Rattus norvegicus: one gene and its partners. The protein of the gene in region 1 binds, or shares a complex with, the protein of each later gene. Links are inferred from orthologs where the notes say so. Each region holds a gene or a part of one and is shown in the gene's direction. Other genes may lie near its edges.

Evidence for each region.
Region 2: Trim21 (region 1) and Cul1 share a complex: the UniProt entries of both Homo sapiens proteins name them as parts of the SCF(SKP2)-like complex. The link is inferred for Rattus norvegicus from reciprocal best matches to the Homo sapiens genes TRIM21 and CUL1.
Region 3: the proteins of Trim21 (region 1) and Ube2e1 are in contact, whole or in part, in a crystal structure (PDB 6FGA), measured with the Homo sapiens proteins. The link is inferred for Rattus norvegicus from reciprocal best matches to the Homo sapiens genes TRIM21 and UBE2E1. Residues at the interface, in NP_003132.2 of Homo sapiens: Pro17, Ile18, Cys19, Leu20, Asp21, Glu38, Cys39, Gln42, Val43, Pro52, Arg55; in NP_003332.1 of Homo sapiens: Lys43, Lys50, Arg51, Lys54, Pro107, Phe108, Asn138, Trp139, Ser140, Pro141, Ala142, Thr144.

What each region holds. Positions count from the first base shown.
Region 1 is NC_086019.1:166,394,462-166,404,920, reverse strand, and holds the start of Trim21 (E3 ubiquitin-protein ligase TRIM21), read left to right. Parts: upstream 1-5,549; 5' UTR 5,550-5,612; intron 5,613-10,459. UniProt on the Homo sapiens protein: E3 ubiquitin-protein ligase whose activity is dependent on E2 enzymes, UBE2D1, UBE2D2, UBE2E1 and UBE2E2.
Region 2 is NC_086022.1:77,547,974-77,558,373, forward strand, and holds the start of Cul1 (cullin-1), read left to right. Parts: upstream 1-3,851; 5' UTR 3,852-3,944; intron 3,945-4,260; exon of another isoform or gene 4,261-4,397; intron 4,398-4,792; exon of another isoform or gene 4,793-5,033; intron 5,034-10,400. UniProt on the Homo sapiens protein: Core component of multiple cullin-RING-based SCF (SKP1-CUL1-F-box protein) E3 ubiquitin-protein ligase complexes, which mediate the ubiquitination of proteins involved in cell cycle progression, signal transduction and transcription.
Region 3 is NC_086033.1:9,867,073-9,877,396, forward strand, and holds the start of Ube2e1 (ubiquitin-conjugating enzyme E2 E1), read left to right. Parts: upstream 1-3,469; 5' UTR 3,470-3,653; intron 3,654-3,743; exon of another isoform or gene 3,744-3,744; coding exon of another isoform or gene 3,745-4,062; exon of another isoform or gene 4,063-4,154; coding exon of another isoform or gene 4,155-4,157; intron 4,158-4,191; coding exon of another isoform or gene 4,192-4,224; coding exon 4,225-4,376; intron 4,377-8,513; coding exon 8,514-8,564; intron 8,565-10,324. UniProt on the Homo sapiens protein: Accepts ubiquitin from the E1 complex and catalyzes its covalent attachment to other proteins. Catalyzes the covalent attachment of ISG15 to other proteins. Mediates the selective degradation of short-lived and abnormal proteins.

The sequences.
Region 1 (10,459 bases):
CTCACCCTATAGATGTTGTCTTTGTTAAAACTAAAATCTTATATTTAACTGGTGAGGTTGAAGTCTAGAATAGAATAGGTCCAGAACTATTAAGATGCTATAGACACAGACAGATAAATTATAGGGAGGGAAGAAGGAAAGACTGACACAAAAGCCTCTTGTGTAATCCATGAGCCACTATAACTGTTTCACAGCCAGGCCATTCCCTCCTGTATTGACACAGATAAATCTAAGGACACCTGAGCTCTCTGCAAATGTGATCTCCCTTTCACCCCCTTGAGTGTTTTTGGTAGCATAGATGATGTGTAAAGCACACATTAAAAGCATACATTTTACAGTGGCATGTCAGAGGTTGGGACATGTTGGCATATAATGTATATTACAATCTAGGCAGGCAACATAGGATTCAAAGTGCAGTCTAGGGGCTGAAGAAATGGCTGAGTGATTAATAACACTTGTGGTTCTTGCAGAGGACCCAGGTTCAATCACCCAATCCACATGACCTATCATGACCCTTTGAAGTACATGTAGTATACATGCATACAGGCAGGCAAAACACTCATATACAAACAAAGTTAAATAATTAAATTAGCCTAAAAATATCTTAAATCTGTGTTTTATATCCAAATGAATCTGGTTTTGAATCCTGACATTGCTATTTATCATCTATAAGCATTGGGCATGTTTTGACATCTCTATGTCCTAAATTGCCTGAATTGTAAACAAGAAATAACAAAAAAAATGTTTCTACCTTTGAGTGACAGTGAGGGCCTATGATCAAGAAATTATAGGATCCTAGTAAGTGTTATGTGATCAGTTGTCACATGGCTAACAGCCTCCCAGACAGAGTTAGCTTAGTAGAAAAGGAACTGTCAGCTGCCCTGCTCAAGTTTGTCAGAAATGGACATTTAAATGGAGGTTTAGTTAAGCAGCGGAACCTCAGACTGAAGCAGATCCTATGTTGTCACTATCTTTTCCCCACAGCAGACTGCAGAACACTTATCAGATTCTGACTGGGCCTGAAGCAGCCACTGCGGGAAGTCCTGCACCATCCACACACCTACAGCTTTTCCCAGATTTAACCAGGTAGTTGAAAGTTGAAGAACACTGTTTCCCTTTATCCTGAGTGCATTTCAGTTTCTCATGATGGTCCTTGGTCCAAACCACCTAGGAAAGTCAGATCTAAAGAGGGCCTCATGAAACCAAGCCTGTATGTAATAAAGGGAAAGATGAGGAAAAACCTTCATCCAGTCGCTGTAGACTGACCCAGAGGGAAGGTGGCTGCCCTAGATCGATTTCATTCTGCTTAGTGACAGAAATAATGATGCAAACAGATGGAGCAAGGCCCTGGTCCACTGCCCTCAGTCCAGACCTAGCACCTCATACACTCACTCACCACAACTCCAGAGCCTGTGTCTCCTCTCCTCTGTTCCTCTGTTAGTAAGAAGCATCTCTTGTTCTGCCCATAAAGGCCAGTACTTTATAATCTTCCTGTTAGAAGTAGAGACATAACAGGTCTGCTGGGAACCAGATGCAAATCCAAGAGATTTACGCAGCTGACCTTGCTGAGGTCCCTGAGCTCTAGGCCAGGCAGCTCTGAGAGTTGGTGGGAAGCATCAGGTGAACGCTTCTGTTTCTGCTGATTTCCTGCAGGAGGATGCTCAGACACCTCCTATGGAGTGGCTATTTTTCCAGAAAACCCAACCCCATGAATTACAGTGACCTATGGAGGCAAGCTTATAACAAGAGACTGAGGCACACACTCTGTCCTTCTAGAGAAGGGAGCATGAAGAATGTCTACACATAGAAAACATCAGCATAGATTCTGCCAAAAAGGAAACAGGGTAGCCAGCAATACACATCCATGATTTAGCCCTGGGAAACTTGCAGAAGAGGAGGAAAAAATTCTCCACTTAACCCCAAGGTGCTGCTTAGTAAATGACGGTGTTTGAAAGTGAAGGTACATTCATGAAACAAACATTCTTGCTCAGTAATGCCTTGGAGATTGTCTGCCAAGCATGAGGTAGTGAAAAAACTTCAAGGATATTTATTTCCAGATCTGTCACCAAATATGCAATTATGAGCAGGTGACTTCCTTGATACTTGATCTTTATTTGTATGTTATAGGTGATGATTGCTTCACAGAATCTTTAATTACTATGATTAAGTTAGGATATATGGGACTGGGAGACAGTGTTCTTCCAGAGGACCAGAGTTTGGTTCTCAGCACTCGTATCTGGGAGCACAGCTGCCTAACAACTCCAGCTCCAGGGCATCCGACATCCTCTTCTGGCTTCCATGGGTGCTTGCCCAAACGCGCACAGGCACGCATGCACACACACAAATGTAATAAATCTTGTTTTCTCCAACACTCATTAAACTTGTTTATTTCAGAGACCTTTACTTTATAAAATGACTTTCCACACTGTCTTTTAAAAATCAAGCTTCACATAAATTTTTTCTTGTTTATTAATTGAGAATTTCCTACCTGCATATACCGTGTTTTGACCAACTATGGTCCCCAGTCCCTATCCTTTGATCCTCCCCGACTCCCTCACTGTTTTCCCAGCCAAACTCATCCACTTAAAGTTTTTCCTTAAGAAACCACTGAGGCTTTTAAAACTTAAATAAATTAGAATATGTAAGGCTCTTAGAAAAGAACCTATAAACTTTACACACACTCCTTTGAATTAGACGTAAGAAGCTAAGAGCTGGCTTTGGTGGCCTATATAACAGCTTATATCACATTAACTTCCCCCTACTCCATGGTTGTAGAGGAATTTTAATAAGTTTTATATTTTGGACTTTATCAAACTAATTCAAAGAGAGAGGTTTCACCAGCTCTCCAGGCCTACCGCAAGCCAACTGGTTGACAACTGAAATTACTTTCATACTCCTTGAACTCTTGTTTATGTCATTTTGATCCATTATGCAGTCTTAAGATTTTAGTTCCCTTCACTTCCTGTGGGAAGTGAAAGGAGGAAGTTGGAGGTCCCTGGAGGAAGTGGAGGTGCTGCCATAAATAGTATATAAAATAAATCATATAATACACTCTATCATTATATATCATGTTACTCTTAGCCTGATTTTTTACTGTATTGAGGAAAAACTTGAGCAGTTTTCTAGTGAAGTTTTTTGCATTGTTTACATTAAATATTATTTATATTAAACCAATTTTTCTAACAAAATAAGTAATATTCCAGCATATCTGTTTTCTCTCCTACATTATATCTTCCAAGCACCACCATTTTCAACTTGCTCAATTAAGCTCTTTCCAAAGAATTACCTGTAACAACTAACTGTTTTATATTTAAGGAGTCCTAACAATAGGGCTATGGAAACCATCATCTTGAATGTGAATTGTCAGAAGAGGTGGTTGGTAAAATTGGGGCATGATCTGTTGAGAGAGGAGGTACGGCAGCAACTTGGAAATCCCATCTGCTGCAGTCTGAACATCTGTATCTTAGTGAAATTAATAGAGTGAGATGATGATGATGGTGGTGGTGGTGGTGGTGGTGGTGGTGGTGGTGGTGGTGGTGGTGGTGGTGGTGGTGATGATGATGATGATGATGATGATGATGATGATGATGACGATGACGACAATGACGATATATGACTGTAACAAGAAGTGAGGCTAGGGATTAGGATCCTTAGACTCCCCAGTGAATGGAATTCTTGAGGGGAGGGCAGTAATGAGGGAGGATGGGGAGGGGAACACCCCTAAAGAAGGGGAGGGGGAGAGCTTAGGGGGATGTTGGCCTGAATATCAGGAAAGGGAATAACATTTGAAATGTAAATAAGAAATACCCAATTTAATTAAGATGGGGAAAAAAGATGCAAAGAGAAGGCCTTGTCTTTGAGGAAGAGATCAAGTCTGAGACGAGCAAACTTTTGCTACCTTACTTCGGACTTCCATATTTCACAATTATAAAAAAGAGACTTATGGGTTTTTATGAATTGGTCTGTGACATTTTATTATAGGAATCAACAAATGTTTTAACTATGAGAGTAAAGGGCTACCCCATAATTCTGATACACTGTCAAAACCAGCAACTGGTCAACCCTCTGTCATCTTTCTTGTGCCTCTCCCACACCCATTGGTCCTTTCCTGTTCCCAGCTGTCCTCCTTCTACTTCTGTATCTTTGGGGCTTCTTAGGTCACTAAGTTAGAAATGAGTAAAGAATGCTTTTCCTGTCCTGGACAGAGTGGACTTGGGTACCACTGAGACAACTTGGGTTACTGAAACACATTCAAGTTAGTAAAGCCTGACTAAAACCCAAAGCATAAATATCTCACTTCACCAAAACACTGATAATGTACTAGACAGTCCTATCAATGACATTAACTCTTCCCAAATAAATACTTGAGTCATTTCGCCCAGGGGAAGGAGGGTTGAGATATCAAAGTACTAGCTGAGAGTGAAGGAGATTTTGTTCTTCAGGAGTTTGGGTCTTCAGATAATTACCAAGGTGGGAGCTGAGGCAGCTATGAGTATATTACATTGGTCATCCTGTGTGCACATTATAGAGTATTTATCACCACAACCCTAGGGTGTGTATTAATCTCTCTATCCAGTGTGTAAACTGAAACAGATAAGGCGTCATCTAGTGGTAAATAGAAAAATAGACATTGACTCTACCACTACCTTATTTTGGGACCCAAGTTCTTTGCCTGCAGGAAATAGCGACAGATCTTCAGTGGTGTGAAGCAGAATCATTTTCTGATGTTTGCAGATGCCTTTGTCCTTTCAGATGCTTGACTCTGTTTTTCATTCTGCTTCCTGGAGCTGTTGTGTTCCTGGAATCAAGTCCCAATACAACAGCACAATCTAGACAGTAGATGTCGCCTGGTGACCTTTTACTGAGAAGGATCTCTTAAACAGGGCTGGAAATTTCAAAGCACGGAATGCTTTTATTTCCTAAATATGATAAATGGCAAGGAAAATTCACCTGATGGTTTTAGCGCAAATTATAATACAATCAATGTCCACAAGTCTCCCTTCATTGCTACAACACATACCCTAACATCATTAGGAATAAATTTCTCACCCTAGACTATTTGAAAAGAGGGGAGCAAAACGAGAAGACAGAGGGATGGGAAATGGGCATATGTCAAGCATACTGTGCAATTAATATATGTTAACAAAAACAGTGCCAGGATCTTTCACCCGGATTTTAAAGAACTATCAGTCTTGTGGGAAGATCCCTCTAGAAAAGATAGTAACTCCTCTCCCATCCAGACCTCTTCTCCCAGATGCTCCCAGGTTTGAAGTAAAGACCAGTGTCAAAGGTCGATATCCTGTAGATTACAGTCTGTTAAAGGTGACAAGGAGGCCTTAGAGAGACTGCACCCAAGAAGACATTAACTGAGTTTTCCTTTGCCTGTGGCCTGAAGTCAGTTTCTGGCACCTCTGACCACTCTCCTCCCACTCTCTGCCCAGTCTCCGCCCTATCTGCCTCCAAGGCTTGCCAGTCAACTCCCTGTTCCTCCCCTTGCTCCTCCCTCTTCCTTCTAAGCTTACCTCTGAGAGGAAACTGAAAGTGAAATTAGACTGCGGGCTTGCAAAAGTGAAGCTGAAAACAGCCTAGCCAAGTCTGAGGACCCTGGTAAGGTGAGTGAGGATGGGACCCCTGGCCAGACTAGATGGGCTCCCCCCACCCCACCCCAATGCCACAGATTCAAGGAGCCGCTTCCCACTAGCGCCCTACACACGGAATTTCCTAGCCCACCTGCTGCTTCTCTTCAGCGGAGTTCTCTAGTCCCAACCCTGCCAGGCTGCCCGTGCTTCCCTGTGAAAGCTGGTCTCTGAAATTGACTTTCCTAGTGCCATGAGCAGGAGAAGCAGGGCGGTGACCTAGTCCGGGAGGGAGAGGGGAGGGGGGAACTCGGGGAAACCCCAGCCCCTTGAAGACCCTCGATTGAGGAGAGTGCTAGCCACTTAGAAATTTCAGTGGGTTTAAGATACTCAGCACCCTAAAGGAAGTTGAGAGAAGTACTAGGCTTGGAGGAGCTTAGAGAAGAGCCCAGGGAGTGCTCCCCACAAATGTCAATAGATGAGCATACATACATATTCTGTACATAGACATTTAGATAGAGGAACGTATGGGCATGCCTACATTGATGCATTTGTGCTCAAGTGTAGCTTACAATGGAACATATCAGGGTAAATAAAGACATCAATTTGTGTGTGTGTGTGTGTGTGTGTGTGTGTGTGTGTGTGTGTCTGACACACACACACACACACACAAGCCTAATAACTGGGAAATATACTCTTAGATGATGTACTCAGGATAATGAATGCACATCTTGAAGTTTTTTTATTGGATTTTTTTTTATTTTTATTTCAAATGTTATCTCTTTCCTGTTTTCTCTTCCATAAACCCCCTATTCCACCTCCCCTCCCCCTTCTTCTATGATGGTGTTCCCCCGCCCACCCCTTACCACCCGCCTGCCCAGACATTTCCTACACTGTGATGTCAATTCTTGGCAGGACCAAGGGCTTCCCCTCCCATTGGTGCCCCAAAAGGCCATCCTCTGCTACTTATGCAGCTAGAGCAATGGGTCTGTCCATGTGTACTCTTTGGGTGGTGGTTTAGTCCCTGGGAGCTCTGGTTGGTTGATATTGTTCTTCCTATGGGGTTGCAAGCCCCTTCAGCTCCTTCCATCCTTTCTCTAACTCCTCCAAAGGGGACCCCACTCTCAGTTCAATGGTTGGCTGTGAGCATCTGCCTCTGTATTTGTCATGCTCTGGCAGAGCCTCTCAGGAGACAGCTATTTCAGGTTCCTGTCAGCATGCACTTCTTGGCATCAGCAATATTGTCTAGGGTTGGTAGCTGTATGTATATATGGTCTGGATGCCCAGGTGGGGCAGTCTCTGGATGGCCTTTCCTTCAGTCTCTGCTCCAAACTTTGTCTATATATTTCCTCCTATTAATATTTGTGTTCCTTCTTCTAAGAAGGACTGAAGCATCTGCACTTTGGTCGTCCTTCTTGAGCTTAATGTGATCTGTGGATTGTATCTTAGGTAACCCAAGGTTTGGGCTAATATCCACTTATCAATGACTGCATACCATGTATGTTTTTACTGATTGACTTACCTCATTCAGGATGATATTTTCTAGTCCAATCTATTTGCCTATGAATTTCATGAAGTCATTGTTTTTGATAGCTGAGTAGTATTCCATTGTGTAGATGTACCACATTTTCTGTATCCATTCCTCTGTTGAAGGGCATCTGGGTTCTTTCCAGCTTCAGGCTGTTATAAATAAGGCCGCTATGAACATAATGAAGCATGTGTCCTTGTTATATGTTGAAAAATCTTTTGGGTGTATACCCAGGAGTGGTATAGCTGGGTCCTCAGGTAGTACTATGACAGTTTTCTGAGGAACCTCCAGACTGATTTCCAAAATGGTTGTAATAGCTTGAAATCTCACCAACAATGGAAGAGTGTTCCTCTTTCTCCACATCCTCGCCAGCATCTATTGTCACCTGAGTTTTTGATCTTAGCCATTCTGACTGGTGTGAGATGTAATCTCAGGGTTGTTTTGATTTGCATTTCCCTGATGACTAAGGATGTTGAACATTTCTTTAGGTGCTTCTCAGCCATTTGGTATTCCTCAGTTGAGAATTCTTTGTTTAGCTCTGAACCCCATTTTTGATAGGGTTATGTGGTTCGCTAGAGTCTCACTACTTGAGTTCTTTGTATATATTGAATATTAGCCCTCTATCAGATGTAGGATTGGTAAAGATCTTTCCCAATCTGTTGGTTGCCATTTTGTCCTAATGACAGTGTCCTTTGCCTTACAGAAGCTTTGCAGTTTTATGAGGTCGCATTTGTTGATTCTTGATCTTAGAGCATAAGCCATTGGTGTTTTGTTCAGGAAATTTTTTCCAGTGCCCATGTGTTCGAGACTCTTCCCCACTTTTTCTTCTCTTAGTTTGCGTGCATCTTATTTTATGTGGAGGTTCCTGGTTCACTTGGACTTGAGCTTTGTACAGGGCAATAAGAGTGGATCAATTTGTGTTCTTCTACATGAGGACCTCCAGTTGAACCAGCATCATTTGCTGAAAATGCTATCTTTTTTCCATTGGATGGTTTTGGTTCCTTTGTCAAAAATCAAGTGCCCATAGGTGTGTGGGTTCATTTCTGGGTCTTCAATTCTATTCCACTGGTCTATCTGTCTGTCTCTGTACCAATACCATATACTTTTTATCACCATTGCTCTGTAATACTGCTTGAGGTCAGGGATGGTGATTCCCCCTGAAGTCCTTTTATTGTTGAGGATAGTTTTTGCTATCCTGGGTCTTTTGTTATTCCAAATGAATTTGCAAATTGTTCTGTCTAACTCTATGAAGAATTGAGTTGGAATTTTGATGGGGATTGTACTGAATCTGCAGATTGCTATTGGCAAGATGACCATTTTTACAATATTAATCTTGCCAATCCATGAGCGTGGGAGATCTTTCCATCTTCTGAGATCTTCGTCAATTTCTTTTTCAGAGACTTGAGGTTCTTGTCATACAGATCTTTCCCTCTCTTGGTTAGAGTCACAGGGAGGTACTTTGTATTATTTGTGACTATTGTGAAGGGTGTCATTTCCCTAATTTCTTTCTTAACTTGTTTATCCTTTGAGTAAAGGGAAGCTACTGATTTGTTTGAGTTCATTTTATATCCAGCCACTTTGCTGAAGTAGTTTATCAGGTTAGGAGTTCTCTGGTGAAAATTTTGGGGTCACTTAAGGATACTATCATATCATCTGCAAATAGTGACTTTTTTGACATCTTCCTTTTGATTTGTATCCCTTTGACCTGCTTTTGTTGTCTAATTTCTCTGGATAGGACTTTGAGTACTATGTTGAACAGATAGAGAGAAAGTGGGCAGCCTTGTCTAGTCCCTGATTTTTAGTGGGATTGCTTCAAGTTTTCCTCCATTTACTTTGATGTTGGCTACTGCTTTGCTGTTTAGTGCTTTTACTGTGTTTAGGTATGGGCCTTGATTTCCTGATCTTTCCAGAACTTTTATCATGAAGGGGTGTTGAATTTTGTCAAATGTTTTCTCAGCATCTAATGAAATGACTATGTGGTTCTTATCTTTAAATGTGTTTATATAATGGATTACATTGATGGATTTTCATATATTAAACCATCCCTGCATCCCTGGGATGAAGCCTACTTGATCATGATGGATGATCATTTTGATGTGTTCTTGTATTCAGTTTGCTAGAATTTTATTGAATATTTTTGTGCCAATATTCTTAAGGGAAATTGGTGTGAAGTTCTCTTTCTTTTGGGGGTCTTTGTGTGGTTTAGGTATAAGCATAATTGTGACTTCATAGAAGGAATTGGGTAGTGCTCCTTCTGTTTCAATTTTGTGGAATAGTTTGGATAGTATTGGTATGAGGTCTTCTATGAAGGTCTGATAGAATTCTGCACTAAACCCATATGTCCTGGGCTTTTTGTTTGTTTGTTTGTTTGTTTTGGTTGGGAGACTTTTAATGACTGCTTCTATTCCTTTAGGAGTTATGGGACTGTTTAGATGGTTTATCTGACTGTGATTTAACTTCGGTACCTGGTATTTGTCTAGAAAATTTTCCATTTCCTCCAGATTTTCCAGTTTTGTTGAGTATAGGCTTTTGTAGTAGAATCTGTTAATTTTTTTTAATTTCCTCAGTTTCTGTTGTTATGTCTCCCTTTTCATTTATGATTTGTTAATTTGCATACTGCCCCTGTGCCTCCTGGTTAGTCTGGCTAAGGGTTTATCTATCTTGTTGATTTTCTCAAAGAACCAGCTCCTGGTTTGTTGATTCTTTGTATAGTTCTTTTTATTTCTACTTGGTTTCAGCCCTGCCATCTACTCCTCTCGGGTGTATTTCCCTCTTTGTATTTTAGAGCTTTTAGTTGTACTGTCAAACTCCTAATGTATGCTCTCTCCACTTTCTATTCAGAGACACTCAGAGCTATGAGTTTCCTCTTAGCACTGCTTTCATTGTGTCCCATAAGTTTGGGTATGTTCTGCCTTCATTTTCATTAAATTCTAAAAAGTCTTTAATTTATTTCTTTATTTCTTCCTTAACCAAGTTATCATTGAGTAGAAAATTGTTCAGCTTCCATGTGTATGTGGACTTTTTGTCGTTTTTGTTTTTATTGAAGTCCAGTCTTAGTCCATGGTGATCCGATAGGATGCACAGAATTATTTCAATCTTCTTGTATCTGTTGAGGCCTGTTTTGTGACCAATTATATGGAAGATTTTGGAGAAGGTACCATGAGGTGCTGAGAAGGTATATACTTTTGTTTTAGCATGAAATGTTCTATAAATATCTGTTAAATCCATTTGGTCAATAACTTCTGTTAGTTTCTCTGTGTTTCTATTTAGTTTCTGTTTCCATTATCTGTCCCTTGATGAGAGTGGGGTGTTGAATTGTCCCACTCTATTATTGTGTGAGATACAATATATGATT
Region 2 (10,400 bases), on another chromosome or scaffold:
TGGAGAGTGGAAAAGATGCCATGGGGTAAGGGATTGTGAGAACTGGCTATGAGGGCCAGTCAGAGTAAGAGCAGCCCAGGCAGAACACGGCAAGTCCTGTCTCAGGGTTATTGGTAGGGAAGTAGACATAACAGCACAGAGGGCAGATATACCCCCAGTTTGAGCTGATTAAGGCTCATTATAAATATAAAAGTTTTGTATCTTTTATCTGGGAACAAAATGATCTAAGGTAGGGTAGAAACTCCCAATTAAGAAAGTCAGTTATGTCAAAGGATGTTTTCCTGAAGCAGACACAGGTGAAAGGATGTTTTGCTAAAGCAAGCACATGAAAGGATGCATGATGAAGAATCCTTCACTAATGATATGCATGTATTGGTTCAGCTACACTGTGTAGCTGACCTCCATTTGTCATGACTCCATAGAGAAATGCACCAAAACACTTCTGGTGTTCTGGAGGCTTCTTGCCACTTCCTCAGACTTCTGCTATTTGGCAAAGTGATGTCAGCTGATAACAGACTCATGTGGAGGAAAGACATGTTGTGAGGCAAGATCAATGGAGGACAGACATGTTTGGAGGGAGTATAAATAGGACTCAATGGACAGTGACAGGGGCTTGCATACCTAGCTTTGTAAAGCTTCTTGGTCTTGGGTTTTTATTAAGAACCAGTATTAAAAATAGGGCTGAGAAAAATCAAAAGCCTACAAGAATGTACTACTTTTGAAGAGGATCTAGTTTTAGTCTCCAGCACCCACACAGGGCTGTTCATAGCCTGTAACTTCAGCCCTAGGGATTAGGCACCTCTGACCTCCACAGATACCTGCACTTACGTGTATATATACTCATACTCCCAATACATACATAAGGAATCAAAAATGTCTTCAAAATTGTACACACAATTAAAATATTAATAAAAATCTTTTACTCGACTCCCAGTCTGTTTGTGGCACAGGCTGGCCTGACACTCACAAAGATATACCTTCTCTGCCTCCTGAGATTAAGAGCATTTGTCATTATGATCAGCTTACTCCTTTGGAGGCTAGAGAGATGGCTCAGTGAAGTAAGAGCTTTTTGCAGAGGACATAATTTCAATTCCCAGCACACTCATGGTAACTCACAACTGTAGTAATTCCAAATCCAGGGGTTTAGGCACCCTCTTCCGGTCTTCCTTCAGTACAATGCATGCACAGATAGTACACGTATGTTTAGGCAACACACTCATACATGGAACTGCAGGCTTTGCTTTTATAAAGTGCGCAAGAGATTCAACACATACATAAAAAATTAAAACTTATGCAGCTTCAAAACAAATGAGGATCATTAGGTTATAAGGCTTAATAGTGAAAGTTTTAGGCTTATAACTTTTAAAACCTGGACAGAAGGAACATGGAGTGGTTCCCAAACTCAGGTTCTGGGTCTTTAGCAAATTTCATCATTGTCAGAAATACCAATGTTTAGATTACAGCTCCATGAGTTACTACTATCATCTCCATATCAGATGAGGATGAAACACGAGTAGTTTAATAGCTTGCTCAAACCTACCCACTTAATAGTGGTTCACACAAATATAAACTCTGGTAGTGTCAGCTTCTGGTTTTGTTCTTTTCCTTCCAAGTTCGGGTCTTAGATCTGGAAGGGCCCTGAAGTTTATAATTTTCTCTGGGTAATTCTGAAGCCCAGTCAGTTTAGGGACAACCTGTGAAATACAGTTACTTTCCACAGACTAGTTTCTTACCCGTCTTAGACTAATAGTTCCTGTGGCTGTTTAAGTGACTAGGTGCTCTTTCGTCTGAGCAGTGACCATGTGGGCAGGCTTTAGTGTTCATTCATTCAGCAAAATGCTGACAGAAATTTAAGAAATAATCCTCTCCCCAAGGCATACCTGAAGCCACTCATGGGAACCTCCACAATGAGGGATTTTAAAAATAGCTATTTAGACCTAAAACTTGAGCTTTTCCAACTACGTTAATATTTCTAATTTACAAAGCTATATTTTAATCTCATTGACTTTTGTCTGATAAAGACCTTTGAAACAGTTTTAAACTTTGATTCTGGTGTCACTATCTTTCCAAACTGGCTCATCCAAAAAGATAACTGTTTTGCTAAGATAGAGGAGATTAGGTGTGTTTTGAGCATGAAAGTTATATCTTTTTGTCCTATTAGGTAGGGCTGTCTGCTCAGAACAGATGCCATCTGGTTGCAAAGTGGACACAGGTCAATGAACAAGTCCAGCCACTGAAAATGACAGTATGGACAGTAAATAAAAGACTTTAAAACAAGGAATGGAGACTGAGAACTGGGGATGGATTCAGATAGACCAAATACCTATATTTAGGGCAAAACGGGTTGGAGAAAACCCTCAAGTTGACACACACATATCCAGAGGTGAAAAATCACAGAAAAGGAGACCATATAGAATGATGACACTGAAGAACGACAGATTAGGAAATATGGAGAGGAAGTAAATTGTTATCTCTGAACATGGGAATCCAGTTTAAAACAAAAGCCAAAATATTCAAGGGACAAACCTTCCACTTTCTTACCTCCATCTTCATCATGTATCCACAGAAAGGTTACTAAAAACATGTTTCTTTTGACTGAGTTATTGAGGTGTTTGATATAAAAAAATAAAAATCTCTTTCCCCCAGACAAACGTAAACATAATTTGGTATACACATATACAAACAACACTCCTAAAAATACGTAATAGATGTTGACAAAAAGCCACAGTTCCATAGGACTAAACAAGCAGTTCTCTTAACTTCCTAATGCTGCTACTCTTTCATACAGTTCACTGGGTGACCCACCAATCAGAACATGATTTTTGTTTGTTTCATAACTGTAATTTTGCTGTTATGAATAGTGATGTAAATGTTTTTGGAGAAGTTTGTCCAATGGGTCTCGACCCACAGGTGAGAACTTGGAACACACACCAGTGAGACTTTCGAGAGGAAATACAGGTGGTGACTCAGGCTGTGGATCTGGGACTGCAGGTATGCGGAGGAGACTGTCCTGAAGTGGTGCATTAGAATCTCTGTAGTGTTCTTGTTAGGTGAAAACAGAAGTTACATCAAATACATCTTTGGCCCAGATGATGGGCTAACTGAAAATATTCCCTTGCTTGTTCACAGAATTAAATGGCAGATCTAAGCCAGGATATTAAAACAGCTGCCTCTTAACTAGGTGCGGGGTAAATCCATTCTTTCTCCAGCCTCTCACTTGTGGGACAAACACCTGTGGGGTGTTGCCAAATTTACAATGGGATATTACAAACACAAGACAAGACAGCAGCTGATTTCTAACGGGTGAGATTATTCTAGATGTAAATACTATTTCCTGCCATCCCAGGTTGGAATCGCAACTCCAACTCTCCAGAACTGAACCTTATACACTGAAAGTGAAAAGGATCTAAAAGGGAAAGAAGCCCACTTTAGTTTGGAGAAAAGTACTAAAGAGGAAGACACACAGACACGTGGGTATGTGAGTAAGCTGGAGGTTTTCGCAGGGGGATCTCCAAGGCCTGCAGGTAGGAGGGGGGTCGGAGAAGCAATGGCACGTTTCTCTGGAGTCCGCGCTGATTTGGGGGCCGCCAGCCCATCTGACTTTCTCTTCTCACGGTTGGGGATATTGCCACTGGTTCAACTCCAACTCCAGGTCTGGAGACATCCAGCTCGGTGCACTTGGAGTCCATGTCAGCTCCCAGGATGTGCATGCAGGAGAGGGGCAGAGGAGGTCGCAGCCCCTCTCCTACAGCCGCTTCCGGAAGTTTCTTCAGAGACCTGAGCCCCCAACCTCAGCACGGCCCCCACGAGAAGTCCGAAGTGGCGGGAAGCCGGGGCTTAAGAGGCCGCCCCGACGCGAGGGCGGCGGGAAAACCTGGCGGAGGATTCCGCACGTCCGGCGGGACCTAGTTCGGCGTTTGGGAAGCAGAGGCCATGGCTCCCAGGTAGAAATGCCTGCGTGAAGCGGGTCCTCGCCACTGAGGGGCGGCCAGAGACTCTGGGAGGGCGGTTTCAGTGCCCCTCCCGCGCTGCCTCTGGCCAGGCGATGGCGGCGACGGTTTCTTGGCTCCCCCGCCCCGGACGCCGATGGCGGTGCGTTCCGGCCCTCCCTCCCCCACGGCTTCGCCCCGCGGTCGCCAGAGCCGGTGAAGCCGGGAGGGCGGGGAGCGGCGGAGGGACGGCGAGAGGGCGGAGGTTGCGTGGTGCAGGCGGCGGCGGCGGCGGCGGCGGGAGGAGGAGGGCCGGCAGGCGGGCAGGGGAGGAGGAGGAGGAGCGGGCGCCGTGTCGCACGCAGCTCCAGGCGGGGCAGCCCGGGCGCTGAGGGACGCGGCCAGACCTCGGCGGGCCCCGCGAGCACTACACGCCGCCCGAGCGTCGGGGGGCGCCCGGAGATGCGGGTGAGTAGCGGCTCGGGCCGCGGTGGCGGGAGGCAGCGCAGGCCCGGGCAGAGCCGCGGCGTCGCAGTGACTCGGGCCGCGGCGTCCGAGCCCGGGTTGCCGGCAAGGCCCGAGGCGCCGCGACTAGGCGGAATGGCGGCCGGGCTGGAGAAATCGTGGGCGTAGGACGCTGAGGGCGGAGCGGAGCCGGCAGGCCCGGCCTGAGTCACCGGGCCGGCCAGGCTCGGCCTGGGCCGGGACTCGCAGGACCAGGCCCCGGCTACGCACTGGGAAAAAGCCGGACTCACCGCGGCCTGTGGCGCGGGCCTCGGCGCCTCACGCGTTACCCCTCCCTTCCCCTCGGCCCTGGGGGTTCCGCTCGGCCGGGGCGGCTCAGGGCCGCGGGACTCGTGCTCTCGGGGATCCCGGGGCACTCATTGTTGCGACGGTGCGGGGCATGATTATTGGGTAACAGTGGTGCCCCGGGCTCCGTTCTCTCTGGGAGCGTGGCCGAGCAGGCGCGCCGGGATGCGGTGTGCTTTTCGAAAGGAACGGAGCCCCGGGGCGTCCGCCAGCTTTCCTCAGTCGAGCTGGGCCCTGTGCGGCGGCCTCGGCGCGTCCCCGGGCCCGGCGGGAGCGCGCGCTCTGACCCCAAAGGTAACCGGGCACCGGGCCAGGGGGACCGAGTCGGGGGCCGGAGATTCTGCGGGTCTCTATTCTTAAATCCCGCGTGGCCCTGAGAACCCCTTCTTTCTGTCACCTGTGCACTGTGTTACACCGGAGATAATTAAGAAAGCAAGGGACGCTTGCACTCTTCATTCCTTGAGTCTAATAATCCCCAAAGTTAAGGGAGCTAGGTCTGCCAAAAAAGAGGATTCCCCCTTTCCTACGAGGTCGCTGTTGGTACTTGCAGTTCACTGTCGTTGGGGGTTTGTGGTAAGGGCACGCATGCTGAAATGCAGTCAAGTTGTTCAAGTGTTTTTAGTTGCTCTGTGTGTGCTTGCTCTGTGCTGGAGTAGCATTAAAACAGCCAAAAGCTAAGGATGGAATAAATAATTACTGTTTTAGAAAGGCACTGGGGTGACAAAAGAGGAACTAAATTCCTTTTACTTCAAGTTTCTAGGACCTAAACCTAACACTCTGGAGAAGCAAGTGTAGTTGAGAAAAATAAGGATATAAGGTCTTTCTTTGTTTGAAAAGGTTTTAAGATTTATTTTTATTATTTTTTTACATAAAACTTGTATTTATTGCTTCCTATAGTAAGTTGAAACAGTTACATCTCATTTTAAATTCTGAGTATGCAACACAACACTGGCTTGCTTTATCGTCTATTATGCCTATTTTTGGAGGTTTTGGGGAAGCACTTACTAAGCTTGGGAGAAAAGGCTGAAGTGCTTTCTAAAAATGTTAACCTTTTCTCTTTCCTCCCCCGTTGGCATCATCTTTAAAAAACTATTTTGCCCAAAAGCAAATATTTTAGATATGCTAGGGTGTTTGTAAGATACATCTTTCCTGAGCCTTATGGTCAGGCCCTGGAAGGTGTGGCCCAAATTCCTAGTATGTCACATACATCTGAAGTCTGAGCTAATTTGGCCAGGTGTCTTTAGATATTACATAGACTCTGTTGTTCAGGGAACTCCACCTTCTTGCTGTAATTAATTTTGTCAGTGTAGGCTTATTTCCCATACGTGTGACTATGAAATCATTGAAAACAAGGAATAAGTCCTTTACTTTGTCTCCCTCAGATAACATAGAACATGATCTTGGTGGTACCATGAATGGCTTTTTTTTTTTTATTGACTAATTAAATTAATCCTAGGGTTTTACTCCTCCCCTTAATTTTGGCTGCAGAAAACATAGTCATTGTTGCTGTTGATCTTGTTAAAAGTGCAAGTTTACTATTATGTTGCATGCTTCCCTAGAGTGAAACTCATTTTTCTTGTGTTGCCCCTTTCACCTGATAAGTACTTACTTTACCTAGGGAAAAAAAAATTGTCCAAGGTTTCTTTGTGGAAATCCAAACAGTTTGTAAAATTAAAATTAATCATTTTAATTTAAGAAGTCAGTATTTTTTTAAAAACAAGTTTGTTTACCCCTTTACCTTTGAAGTAAAGCAGGTTAGTATTTAAGGCTATTCCCTGCTGGAAAGATAGGCCAGCCCAGTTGTACTAAAGTTTCTGTGAGAGGATAAGGGATAATGTACCTTCATTTCAGCAAGGAAAATTATGTTTAAATGAACAAACTTTAAGTCAAACAGTAGTTACTTGGCATTCTTAAGATTTAATTTGTTAGGGCCCCCCAAAATTATTAGGGCACTTCATAAGTCTCAAAGCCTACTTAGTCTTTTTTACCTTTATCAGTGAAGTCATGGGATAATATGAGAATCAGTGGTTTCATTTTGAACTTACCTTTAGGTTTGTTTGGAGGAAAAAAGCTGTTAACCATCTATTTTAAAGGACAGTTCTAAATTCATCTTTAAAAAAAAAAAATGTGTGCGATTAGGGGGATGTTTGCCCGGAAACCGGGAAAGGGAATAACATTCGAAATGTAAATAAATACTCACGTTAATAAAAAAAAAAATATGTGCGCATGCCCCATAGCACACATGTGAACGCCAGAAGACAACCTTCATAGTCTTTATCTTATGGGTCCCAGGGATTCTTTAAACTTGGCAGCAGTTCCTTAGACTTGGCAGCAAACACCTAAGGTAATTTTTAAGTGATACTGTCTAACTTTTAAGTCCTTAAAATATATGGATTCCTTGGGAACATAACTAGCGAGACATTGGAGAACTACCTTAAAGAACATAATATAACATTTCATATTTGACCACCAGGGTTATGAAAAGCCCAAGTTTGATAGTATTTAATTTTTCCCTTGTGAAATCTGGATAAAAGGAAGATTCCGCTCTCTGGCTTCCACTCACGTTTCAGCTAGATTGCACTTCTAATTTGTTCTGGGTTAACATCCTTCTTTTTCTTTTCTTATCACTTTATAGCTCAGGCATCTCCATCTCAGGAATGCTGGCCTTGCCATTCTGTCTAGGACCTTTCCCTAGGTCCTCATGATGTCTATGGTACTATACCAGTGCTTAATTTCTGATGATACTTGGTGGTTTCTTCTGTTAGGCTGTCTTTACCCAGGGGCAGGGTGGAACAAATCTGACGCTAGTACCTGTCACAATGCTTATGTCAAAATTCATGTACTTCCTCCCACTTCAAATCTTTACAAAGCCATGTGAAGTTTAAGTACTGACATTTAACCCTTCTTGTAGAAAATAGAAGGGTCCTGGACTTTGGGTAGTTTTCATCAAGGCTATGAAGGTATAACACCCCTAGTAGGTGGTTAGAGCAAGATGTTGATCTCAGAGCTTGAACTTTTAAACAAGAGCTCACCTTGAAAGTCTGATGTATATGAAATTAAAGGAAGATTATCAGAGATTAAAATGAAAGCGTCTTTAAAGATTGATGTCTGTGATCATTACAACAGAATGCATCATACATAATTATGGTCAGCTCCCAAGAATGAGTTTCTTCTTCTGGTCCTTCAGAAAACACTGGACAGTACTTAGACAGTGATGGTGTAGACATAAACAGTTGTAGAACATTGGGGCTATTGTTAAATTGGGTGTAATGTTATGACTCATTGGCCTTGCAAAAATTCCTAAATTCATTTAATAAGCTAATTTTTTAAAGGTCTGTGTCAGAAAATACTTTAGAAAACAGACTACTAATTTAAGTATGTATAAAGTATGCAGTAGTTTAAGTAATTAAAGTTTTAAAATGGTGGTGATTTTAGGTGAACTTGTGTCTTTTAAAATTTTTTATAAATCAATTAATAACAAAGTATCAATTTCAAGTCTCAGGGTGGAGAAACTTAATAATAATACCAAAAATATGGACTTTAAAAAAAGAACCAATTCAGAGTTTTAAAGCTTCTTATGGTAAAATCTTGTAAACAGAATAAAAGGCAAATGACAAACTACGAAAATGTTTTTACATGCAAATTTATTTTTTATACTATCAAAGGGGACTTGTAAACTAATGGGAAAAAGATTCCCTTCTATGGCAAAAAATGGGAAAATTGGAATAGGAAACATGAAAATCTTGAGCTTTACTAACAGTATTCCCAGAAGTGGTGCTTTGTAATGTTTTAAAATAAGTCACTTTTGTACAGTGCAGCAGAAGAGGGCATCAGATCCTATTACAGATGGTTGTGAACCAGCATGTGGTTGCTGGGAATTGAACTCAGGACCTCTGGAAGAGTAGTCAGTGTTCTTAACCACTGAGCCATCTCTCCAGCCCATAAATATTATTTTTTTTAAGCAATTATTTTTGTGTGTATGGGTTTTCTGGGCTGCCATGTTGATGTTGGGATCTTGTATTCTCAGGAAATGCTTTTAACTGCCGATCCATCACTTCAGCCCCAACTAAGATTTTTCAAGACTTATAAATTGTAGCAGAAATTTCAAAATGATGTATAGTTTGAAATAGCCTGCTTTTAAGGATTTTGTTAACAATATAAAAAGTGATCAATAGATTAGCAATACCCCCGTATATGTGACTTAATGCCTTTTTCTTATGCATTAATTTTCAGTTTGGGGTTATTGTGGATGACTTTCAGCATTGTTTAGGTAAATCCTTACATTTTTGTAATATTGTATTGAATATTAAAGTACAAAGATACTAAAAATTAATATGTATAAAAGTTTTTCAAGAGTGGGAGTGTATTTTGGAAAGTAACTACGTTAGTGATTATCTTTAAGAAGTGGTTCATTTTAGGGTTTTTTTTTTTGCCAATTTTTCTCTACTGCATACGTATTTCTAGCTAGACAACTGGAAATACAATATAGTGGGTTGGTTTTCCTTCGGATGATTTTTGGAGCAAGATGCTGTGGATGGAACCCAGGGGAGCATCAGACTTCGTATGCTAGGCAAGTCCCCACTACTGAGCTACTTCCCAGGGTATTGAGATAATTTTCAAAAGCATAAATCCAAAGCAAATAGTAGTAGAACCACTGCCAAGGAATGTCATTCTGCTTATTTTATTCAATGTAGAGTTACTTGGTATTTGATTTACCTGCTCCTCCTTTCCATGTGTTAATGGATAGGGTTAAATGTCTGACTTGGTAGCCTGATTGGTTCTAGTGGTCAAGTTCTCCTTTGTCTTCTGTGCTCATTCATTCTTGTATCATCCTTCACATTATTTCCATTAAACTCAATATGTTTTGATATTTATCATTTATTTAAAATAGCCTTCATAGTGAAGATTTCCTTTTCCTTTAAAAAGTGTGTGTGTATACATACATGTATGTACACATATATGTACATGTGGCATGCTACCACACAGTTGTGGAGGACAAACGTGTAGTACTCAGTTCTTGGGGTTAAACTTAAAGTCACCAAGCCTGCATTCCCTGCTGAGCCATCTGGGCAACTGAGTGTTCCTTTTCTTGGTGATAATTGAACTTCCCATTTTGCTTAGTCCATAACTCCTAATAATAGGAGATACATTTTAAGTTGAATGTTTAAATTATGAAGCCTTCATTTATAGTAATAAAACTTACTGAAAATTACTTGACACAATTCATGCTATAACTTGGAAAAAGAAAGTTGCTTGGTTTGTTTAGTTATCTATGAAGGATCCTTTAAATTAGAAATATTTCGGGAATTAGAAGAAGGTAGGTACATAGAAATGTGCATAAAATGCACAGAAGCTGTCACCAGATAATCAATGGAGAAATACCTTTGGTACACAGAATACACTATATTCTCACTAAAAAAGTTAGCTGTGCCTGATAGGCAACTTAAAATCACAAATGGAGAAAAAGGTATAAGAACTTAGGGCTTCCTTCCTGGGGGTTGGAAAGAGGCCTGCTCTGATCAGACTAGAAAGAAAGGTTTGGGATCCTGCGTGAGCATGAGGTTGGTAAGCCATGGAGCAGACTCCTCAGTCCCAAGTGGAATTCTATGAGTGGGTTCAGATCCTAGGCTGGTATAAGACTGGTTTGGGAGAGAAATGGAA
Region 3 (10,324 bases), on another chromosome or scaffold:
TCTATCCAATTTCTTGCTATTTTTCTTTTTGGTTTTAAGACAAGGTTTCATGTTATAGCCCAAGTTGAACTGTAACTCACTGGATGGCCTTGAATTTATAATACTAATCCTTCTGTCTCAGCCTTTTGAGTGACACCATTCCCAGCTATATCAGCAAATGTCCATTTCCTTGCTTGTTTTTGAACTCCTCTCTCTCTCTCTCTCTCTCTCTCTCTCTCTCTCTCTCTCTCTCTCTTTCTGTGTGTGTGTGTGTGTGTGTGTGTGTGTGTGTGTGTGTGTGTGTGTTTTCTAGACAAGGTCTTCCTATTTGGCTCAGCATGGCTTTGAACCTGAACTTGGTAAAATGTGGAGCCAGGCTCACTACGCCTGTGGGACGTCACATCCCAATTCCTTAATTTCCTTTGTGTTTTTTTTTTTTTTTTTACTGTAAATTGAGCAATCCAATCATAGCACTTAATGGGTTTGAGGCATTTGCTTGCACTCCCAGAGCCCACTACAGGAAAACAGCTCCCTCTGGGGAAATTGGGAATTGGGGGAAGTAGGTAAGTTATTGCTTATTCTTTTAAGAAAAAAAAACATGGCAAAACATCCATAAATATAGAATAAGTAGTGATGGTTATCTTCAGGATGGAGAACTTGAATAGAGGACATTAGTGTATTTTAATAATAAGTAAATGTTACAGATTCTGTGACTTCCTCAGCTCACTTGGTTGGTTTTGTTAATAATCAGTTTTCCTTTCTTTTTTGAAACAGTCTCAAGTAGTCCAGGTTGGCCTTGACCTTGCTCTGTAGCAGAGACTGGTTTAGAACTCCTCCTGCCCCTCCCACTCTTGAACTCTTTCTTCATCTTCCGGCTTCCCCCCCTCCCCCAGAAGCCGGGATTTTGGGCACATTCTGTCACACCCACCCACAGTTAGTGCATTTTAAAATATTATCCGAGCTTGCTTTTCATATTCAATATATTTTCTTTACTATAACCGAGGGCCTTCTTCTATACCAGCACTGCCAGAACTGACAAGGCCGTGTGTGGACATCAAGGCATCGAGCTTGTACCGCATGACCTTGAAGAAGATCCGTGGGCTTTCTCCACCTTCCTTTCTTCAACTGAACCATGAATGTAAACTGGAAAGCAGTCTATGCCCCTCCAGACATGGAAATCCTCATTCCTCAACTCTGTCTTCCTCTTGAAAGGTTTCTTTCTTTCTTTCGAATTTGTCTATTTATTTTGAGGCAGGCCTAGACTCATGTGGCATAGCCTCAAACTTACCACATAACTGAGGAAGGCTTTGAACTCCTGACAAGCATTTTTCTAATAAAATACTCATAATCAATTTCAGGTCTTAAAGATCCCATGTTCCAAAAAAAAAAAAAAAAAAAAAAAAACCTAGAAAATCCAACCTAGGCTCCCAGGTTTGAATGATTCGTTTACTTTGTGCAATGACTAATAGAGCATGTTATCATAGATAAGCATTTGACAATGTGGGCATTCTTGCCCTTTATACATGAGGAAACTGATGCTCTTTCTTCCTAGGAGATCAGTTTAGATTCTTAGGCCTTGGAACTGTGAACACGAGTCAGTCTAGGTAGGAGTGTAGAGAACTTATCTGACACATGCTAAAGACCTGGGTTCAATTCCCAAAACTGCCAAAAGAAAAAAGTAGAGAGCTGGAAGCTGGGAGGTGTGTTACGTGCCTTTAATCTCAGTGCTCAGGAGGAAGAGGAGGAAAACTGTGAGCTCAGGGCCAGCCTGGTCTACATACATATAAAATCTTAAACATTTAAAAAGTTTTAAAATAGCAGTCTTTACATCAGAATATTTTTGAATACATAGCTATTTTTATTTATTCATTACTGACTTTTTAGTAATATTTGGGGGGGGGGGGACACAGGGTCTCAATATGTATCGCTGGATGGCCCAGAATGCTATACACATCAGGCTGGTCTCAACAGAGGTCTGCTTGCCTATGCCTCCCATACCTGAGTCACCATGACCTGCTGGTATTATCATTGATAAGCTCTTCCAGCACATACAAAACAAAACACTTGTGGAGATTTCTTCTAAATTTATGTTTGCCTGGCAGTGGTGGTGAACACCTTTAGTCCCAGCACTTGAGAAGCAGAGGCAGGTGGATCTCTGTGAGTTCCAGGCCAGCCTGGTCTGGAATTCCAGGACAGCAAGAGCTACACAGAGAAACTCTGTCCCAAACGGGGCAAATCATTTGCTTTGGGTAGTAGAGGAAGGGTTCTTTCTGTTGAAGGAGGTTCAAATGGTGGCCTAGGAGAGGTCTTATCACTAATCTTACACACGATTTGAAGACAACTCTTACTAGATGCAGGTTTCCTTGAAGATTTGAGTGGAATAAAGTGTGTAATTACGTTATGAATCTTAACACAGCTGGAGTTTCAGATGGACAGCTAGAAGGGGTTTAGCTGGGTAGTGAGAATGCCTGCTCTCCTGGCTACTGTCGGTGAGCTTTCTTTATATCCTGTGTGGTAACTGAAGCCAGGGTTGCCATGGGAGGCAATTTGAATGAGGTCATTTAAAGTGGACCATGGAAATCTGAGTGCAGTTGTCTGCCCAGGACACAAGATCTTGTGTGTGTGGACCTTGTACTTGGATGGCAGGGGTCTGTTCCCTTTAGGGTAAACGACAAACAGGTAAGAAACGAAGTCCTAATTTAATGGTGGGATGTTTTTAAAAATAAACTTCGGTACAGTGCCACACAAGGAACAATTTAGTGACATTACTGTGTAACTATTCTAAAAATATTATTTGAATAGCATCATATTGGAGTAAAGAGAAAGTAGGGTGCTTTCTAGAACTTTTTTTTTTTCCAATTTCTAAGACTCAGACATTATATCTAATCTAAGAATTCCAAATCCTGTCAAAAATCATCGGCTCATGGTTTATTTCCAGTGATATTACAATCCCATGCCGGGTCGTGGTTATCTGTCACGAACTCCAATCGCATACATTAAAAAAAAAAAAAAAAGTCCACATTCTTCTCTATAAGAAGTGAAGGGCAGGGGGGAGGGGGGTATCTAGTGTAAAATTGCACACGCCTGGTGTGTCCTAAACAGAAACCCGTCTGGGTTTTTTCTCACAGGCGTGACCTCTGCTCCAAGCACGCAATTGCCAGAGGGAGGAACAAGTGTCAGCCCAAAGGAAAACCCTGTTAGGGGATTTTCCCCCCCTTTCTTTACAAACGGATCACTTTTGGGGAGGAGTCAAAGTCCTCGCCAGGAGAGTACCACCTTTTCCCTTCTCCGGCCATCTCACCCCCCAGCCCTTCCCTAAAGCCCTCCTGGGAAGAACTTCCCCTGGTCACCCCGGTTTCCACCGGGCCCAGTCGTCTCCCAATCCCGCCCGGCTGCCTCGGCTCCGCCCGGCGCCCGGTCCCCAGGCCACGCCGGGGTCGCTCGGGGCTCTGGGGCCGCGGCCCCCAGGTGCGGCGGGGGAGGGGCGCGGGGCGGGGCGGAGAGGAGGAGTGGCGCGGAGCGTGTGCGGCCGGGGAAGCCATTGCCTGGTTAATAGTTGCTGTTGCTGCACTTCCGCTTCTCTCCCAGCGAGAGCGAGACACGAGTGGCCAGGCCCAGCCGCAGCCGCAGCAGCAGCCGCGGCGGCGGCACGGAGCAGCCAGACACAAAGAGAGGTGCGGGGGGCCCCCGGGGCGGGCGAGCGGGCCGCGGGGCCGGGGGCGGACGGCACCGCCGGGCCACAGGCAGCAGGGCCGGGCGGCGGGGATGGGGCGGCGGGCCGGGGCGGCGGGGGCCGCGCGAACTGTCAGCGGGGCCCGGTCCCCGCGGGGACCCGCCCGCCCGGGGCGCATTGTGCGCGCCGGCCTGCGAGCGCAGCCCCGCGTGGCCGGGCCTGGCCGGGCGCCGTGTCCCCGCGGCCCACGCGGCCCACGCTCGGCTTCCTCACCCACTCTGGCTGCTCGGCTCGTCCGGACCTCACCAAACTCGAGCGGACGCCGGGAGGCCTCAGGGACGGCGGCGACGGCTCCTGGCCCTCCTCAGGCCACCCCCCGCGCGATCGCGGCCCCCGCGTCTCTTCGGCCGGTGCGGCGGTGGGCCCGGAGCCTCTGCAGGGCGGCGGGGGCGGCCCGGCCCGCGCCCTCCTGACAGCGGAGTTCCCTCTTTGCAGCGCCTGCATGGTCTGTGTTTCTGTTTTGTTTCCTCCCCCTGCAGGGGCCGTTCGCGGGGTGGGGTGGGGGGTTCGCTATGTCGGATGACGATTCGAGGGCCAGCACCAGCTCTTCCTCATCTTCGTCCTCCAACCAGCAGACCGAGAAAGAAGGCAGCACCCCCAAGAAGAAGGAGAGTAAAGTCAGCATGAGCAAAAACTCGAAGCTCCTCTCCACCAGTGCCAAGAGGTATCCCACTCCTTTCTCCACAGACATCTAGCTTCCCGGTCGCCTCGTGCTGCATGTCAGGGAGGGAGGCTTCAACGACGACGTTCTCAGGCAGGAAAATGGGGCACGGGAGTCCCACCTGTTTTCTCTCCTGCTCGCTGCTTCTGGTTTTGTTAAAGCCCATGTCCACAAGCAGGAGTTGTGGTTGGCCTCGTCCGTTTCTTGTTGGGAGTTTCAAGAATCCTCATTACTTTTATGAGTGACTCTCGCAATGTGATTTCAGAGTCCTCGTTCTAGTAATCACGACTTCCTAGAGGCTGTCATCATACTTCATTATTAAGCATACCTTCCTGGGCAATTCTGTCAAGACGAGTTCTGACCATCTTTCTTCCTCTTCACCTGTTGCAGGGGTTGTGTTTTCTGAACTGGGTTCCCCCCCCCCCCCATACATTACTTAAGGAATAACTAACTCCCATTAGTGGTTAAAGAAATTTACGTGATGTTTTATGGCGGCATTTGAAGAGCCTCTGCCTGTTTGGAGAGTTGAGGTAGTGAAAGAATCACTGAGTGACTGTAAACTTATTTTATTTCAGGTATTTTGGGGAGATTTTTTTTTTTCCTTTTCTGTTTAAGAACTTCAGTTTGATACTTTTCAGGAAGACTTGTTTATTAGACAGGGTCTCTTGTGGCCCAAACTGGCCTTGAACTCAGCACAACTTCTGTCTCAGCCTCTTGATTGCTGGGGTTACAGAAGTGAGTCACTTACTTCAGCCAGCGATAGTCTTTTGTGTAAAAAGGCAGGTAGATATACTTTACCTCTGTCGACCTTAAGTCACATTCTCTGATCCCTGTGATCCTTAAAATAGTCTCTAGCAGGTACCTGGGAACTCCCTGACGTCCTTTCATAACTCCTCTTTTTGTTGAGATAGTTGGCCATAGTAAGGAACAGAAACTGTGGGCTGGTGGGGAAGGGCATTCTCTAAAGAATTTAAATGAAGTGGAAGGTCTAGATGGCGTTGGATCTCTCTGCTGAGTAGTGAGCCTGGCACTCAGAGATTGACAGTCTCATCTGTCCTTTTCCCTGACCTGAAATTCAGAAACTTGGTGTGCTGTCTTAGTGACCTAACCGGACTGATATATGGTGACTTCAGTCATTTTAAATGGTTAGTGTTCAGGTCTCGAGAGCAGTGTTGATGCTTTGATAAAACTGCTCTGGGTTTCTCTGGTTTTTGGTTATATCTCAGACCCTCCAGGGTCTTTGATGACCTCCGAGAATCTCCCTGAGCCTAGAGTCCATCCATCTTGCTCTGGATGGCCTTTCTTGGTCACTCTCTGTCTTCTTAGGCTCTCTGTTTCACTTTGGCCTGTCCTGCCCTAGTGCAGGACATGAGCTGTGATGTCAGTGGGGCTTTTGCATTAAGCTAGAAATCGGTGCGTTTGTGACTGTGTTAGGAAGAAAATGGACAGGTATAGAAAGTAGTTTGCATTTTATCAGTATAGCACAAATAAATAGATTTCTCCATAGATATAGCTTGTCTTGTATGCTTAGAAGGCTAGAAACTTAGTTCTGGGTGTAGTGGTACAGGCCTTTGATTAGCTCGGCCCTTGGAAACAGGCAGGTAGATGTCCTGTGAGTTCAGTCAGCCTGTTCTATAGGGAGAGTTCCACGACACTCTGTCTCATGAGCAAAATACCAAGCAAAAAGTGTAAAACTGTGGTAGCTCAGATGGGAGGGTGTTGGCCGAACAGGCATGAAGCACCACCAGGAATGGTAGCACAGGCCTGTAATCCCAGGGCTATGCCAGGTAGGATCAGTCTTCCTTTCTCAAGGTCTCTGGAGGGTAGGAAGAGGCCAAGTATAATGCACTGAGCCCTGCTGCCTTTAGCTGGACCTTCTTCTCCTGTCAAAGGGGACACTGAATGTTGACTGGAGAAGTTCCTACCCTTAGAAAACCGTTGGGACTAGATGGACGGCCACTGCCATTCCTTGTCAGCCTGGCCTACGAGGGACAAGTTGGGAGCAGCTGGTAAAGAGACATGGCAAGTAGGAAGGGCAGCTGGGGATCAGCAAGTGACGGCTTTACCTGCAAGCCAGTGTGCTGAATGCAGCAGGTTTAGACGCCTAGAGAACTTGTTCCAGCAGTGGCTGTGTGCGTTGAAGGAGAGCTAGGTCAACATCGAAAGACAAAAAGTGGAAAGGGTGTCTAGGACAGGATGAAAGGGAGAAGTTAGGACGGTGGGTTGAAATGTGTTGGTTTGGAACTTCCTAATGAAGTTGGAAAGGTCATGTGTACCAGGAGATGGTGGAAAAGGAAACCTATGTGGGCAGAATAAGGGGATTCATTCACTATGGAGCATGGTCTCCAGCAGGAAGTACACAGAGCTAGACCCACATTTTGAACAGGCCTTTGAGTCACTGCAGACCTTGGCTTCGTGTCTGGACATGCTGCAGATGGTGACGTTTGAGGCTCAGTGAGTAAAACTCGGTGGTATTGGAGTTTAAAAAAGCTTATAGCTTTATTTTGTGTGTATTCATGTATGTATGTCAGGCATGTCAGGGTACACTGTGGAGGTCAGAGGCCGAATTGCTGAAGACAGTTCTCTTTTCTCCGCTGTAGATTCCAGGGATTGAACTGGGGTCATCAGGTAGGATCCAGGCATCTTTAGCTGTGAGCTATCACCAGCCTTAAAAGCTTCACCTTCTAAGCATTAAAGGAGCAATTTGTTCCTTTTACAGCTCAGGGGGACACATTTGCTTTCAGATCTGAAAATGGTTAGTTCCAACACGTACAGGAATCTGGAAGCTAGTCCTCCGAACTAACATCCATTTGGGAATGAAACACCAGATGCAAGCCTAAAGGGACCAGGATTCTTACTGGAAGTGGTAGAATTTAGCAGGACACTAATAATGTCAGTAGAGACTGGATGTTCTAAACGGGACCACATTTGGAGGGACAGGAAGTCTCTTCAATAGGAAACTTTGAAGAACTTCCCCAGGCACCACTCAATTTGTTTTACTTTTAACGCGGAAGAAGTACCAGCTAAAAATGTCAGAGCTTCATAGCAGACTTCTTCTTACCCTCTGAAAACCACTGGAAAGGGAAAAACACCCATTGTCATTCAGATCGCCGAGTTTGCTTGTTGTCCTCTTTTTTGCCTTGGTGGATTTTTAAGTTGCCCGTTAGGATGAGAAGTCATACATAGTCTCCCTTTAGGAGAAGTAGCTTAAGGCCCCAAAGTTTGTCGTTTTAACTGGTGCCCTCAGCGCCTGAGTTAGCAGAAGAGAAGACAAAGGCCAGGGCCCGGTATGAACTGTCAGTGGCTTCGGCCTAAGGGTGGGGGATGGGCTCTTTGTGAGGTGAGGAGGTGCGGAGAGACCAATGCGGGCCTGCAGGGCTGGGGCTGCCCGAGCAAGCTTGTCCTCGGCCCGGGCGGCCGGGAAGTCCGGGGCTGGGCACGGGCCAGTGCTCCCGGAGGGTGCAGGCGGCCGTGCACCTGTGCGGGGCCGCTGGGGGTCCTGCGGTCCTCGGCTCCACCCAGCACTTCCTGGGCCGCTCGACCCTTGACGGTGGCGGTCACTAGGGCCCCGAGCGGCCATATTGGCTTTGCCGGCAGGCCACTGTGTCCCGGTGCGGGCAGGGTCTGGGTCTGAGCAGCACTGACCTGCTGAGGGCGCTGATGTGGCAGGTCCCGGCCTGCAGGGGGCGCTGGTGTGCAGGGTCCTGGCCTGACCGGGGGGGGGGGGGGGGGTGTGGAGGGTACCTGACGGAGTAGTGGTCTGCTGGGAGACTCAGAACGATGGGCCTGGCCTGGGGGTGGGGCTGCTGTGTGGAGTCACTGTTTAGGGAGCAAGAGGTCCAGGTTCGGGCAGGGAGACCAGACCTGGACAACCACTGCTGGGCCCCAGGTCTGGGAATCCCAGGGGAGACTCAAACTGTTTACATGGAAAACGCGGGAGGCAACTGTTTTTGTGTGCTTGGCAGTATTGGAAGCCCTATGCTGTCAAGGGTGGGAGAGCCTGCAAGCTGCTCCCCTGCACAGGGAAGTCTCCCCAGCCTGGGACCTCTGCGTATCCTCTCCTTCCGCAGTGGAGGTAAGGTGGGCTACTGACCTGATTCTGGAAGGGCTTCTGACTAACCTTGTTTCCTGATCTCCCAGGATCCAGAAGGAGCTGGCAGACATCACTTTAGACCCGCCGCCAAACTGCAGGTAAGTAAGCTACCTATGGATTGCCTTAAAATTCTTCTATCTTGTGCTTTGTATTAGTGAGCTTTGCTTTTCTTCTATGGCCTGTGCATGGAGTGGTGCTAACATCAGATGAAATGTGTGTGTGTCAGTGGGTATGGCATGCAGCAGGCTGAGGTCTGCTGAGAGACCTGATGGCTTTCCATGGAATGGGCACTTGTGTATAGGGAACAAAACTTGAGGTTAGGTAAAGGAGCTTGCCTGCTTTAGTGTAGCTATAGGCGAGGTCGGCCTTCACACGTGCAGTTTTGGGGCATTTTGTGTTCTTATTACTTTGCCGGAATTACCTTACCACAGCTCTAAGATGCTGGAGCTTACGGTGAGAACAAGCTGGCCCTAAGACCTACTCTCATACGCGATTCTGTTTTGAGTTTGCAAAGCAATTCCGGAAGTAGCTTGTGACCTTAGTAGAATGATTTTGCTTTAAACTTTTAATTTAAACTCTTAAAAGGTGATGTTTTTGTTGATGTTGCTTCGTCTAGTGTGAAAACAGTTTGAAGCCAGCTTTCAATTGGCTTTATTTAAAATCACCAGTTTTGCATTTTTGAGTCAAGGTGGCAAGAAGTCATGATGATTTGTCTAAACTGATACTTGAATCATGGAGGTCTAAAAAAAATCTTTGAGCCAGGATCAGCCTTGAATGAAGGCGAGGTTTCATTGGTGCTTTAAGTTCATAGGTAGAAGTGACTGGCAAGTATTAGTGGATATACACAGCAAGTATGCGCAGACATTTAGGGTGGGTGCTAAATGAAATATTTTGCTTTTAGCACTCATGTTTTAAAACCATGACTGGTGGATTAAGAGCAAAATTTCGTGTTGCTATTGACTTACTTTTCTGTGCGTGGCTGCATGTGGAGATTAAAGGACAACTTCGTGGGGTTGGTCAGTCGCTGTTCCTACCTTTATGAAGATGTTAGGGATAAACTCGGGCTGCCAGGCTGGAGCTGAAAGTGTCTTCCTCTCGAGCCTTCTGCTCTGCCCTAGTGCTTCTGTTTTGTAAGAATTTGTTCATAATATTGACCAGATTTGTGGTACATTTTGGAATTCTGTCCTGATTTGTAAGAAAGTTATTTTCAGTTTTAGGTACTTTTTTTTTTCTCTAGACAGCGTTTCAGGCTGGCCTCAAACAATGTCTAGCTGAGGGTAGCCTTGAGTGTTTCATTCTCCTGTCATTACCTTGCCCCTAGCATGGGCAGTACAGGTGTGGGGTGTCATGTTGGCTTTATGCCAGGCTAATCTCAGGGCCTCATGCATGTACTCTACCAGCTGAGCTACATGGAAAGTTAGTTAGACCATGCTCTTTAACTGAGTCTCTCATTGTTCTCATGGTTTCTTCTGTGACTGGTCATTTTTCAGTGGTTGAGAATTAGAGAAATATTAAAAGACGCAAGCCCAGGCTTCCCTGGGTTGTTTGTGTGGATCAGACATTCCCTACGGTAGGTCCGTGCCGTAGCTGCCGCTGCTGTTGGTATCAGCTCCCCTGTGTGTGGCTCCGCTGAGCCTCAACAGCTCTGGCTGCTCACATTAGAACCTGTAGCTTCCAGCGAGTATCGGTCATTCAGACACAGAGTGGCTTTCTCGTGAGTAAGTGCTATCAGATTTAAAACCGTAAACAATTTGAAGAATTTCACGAGATAGTCTTCTTTCAGAAGCAGGATAAGTACGCTTGAGTCCATGTTGTAGCGGGTTTGTCTGTGAGAGGTTTGCGTTTCTGAAGCATGAAG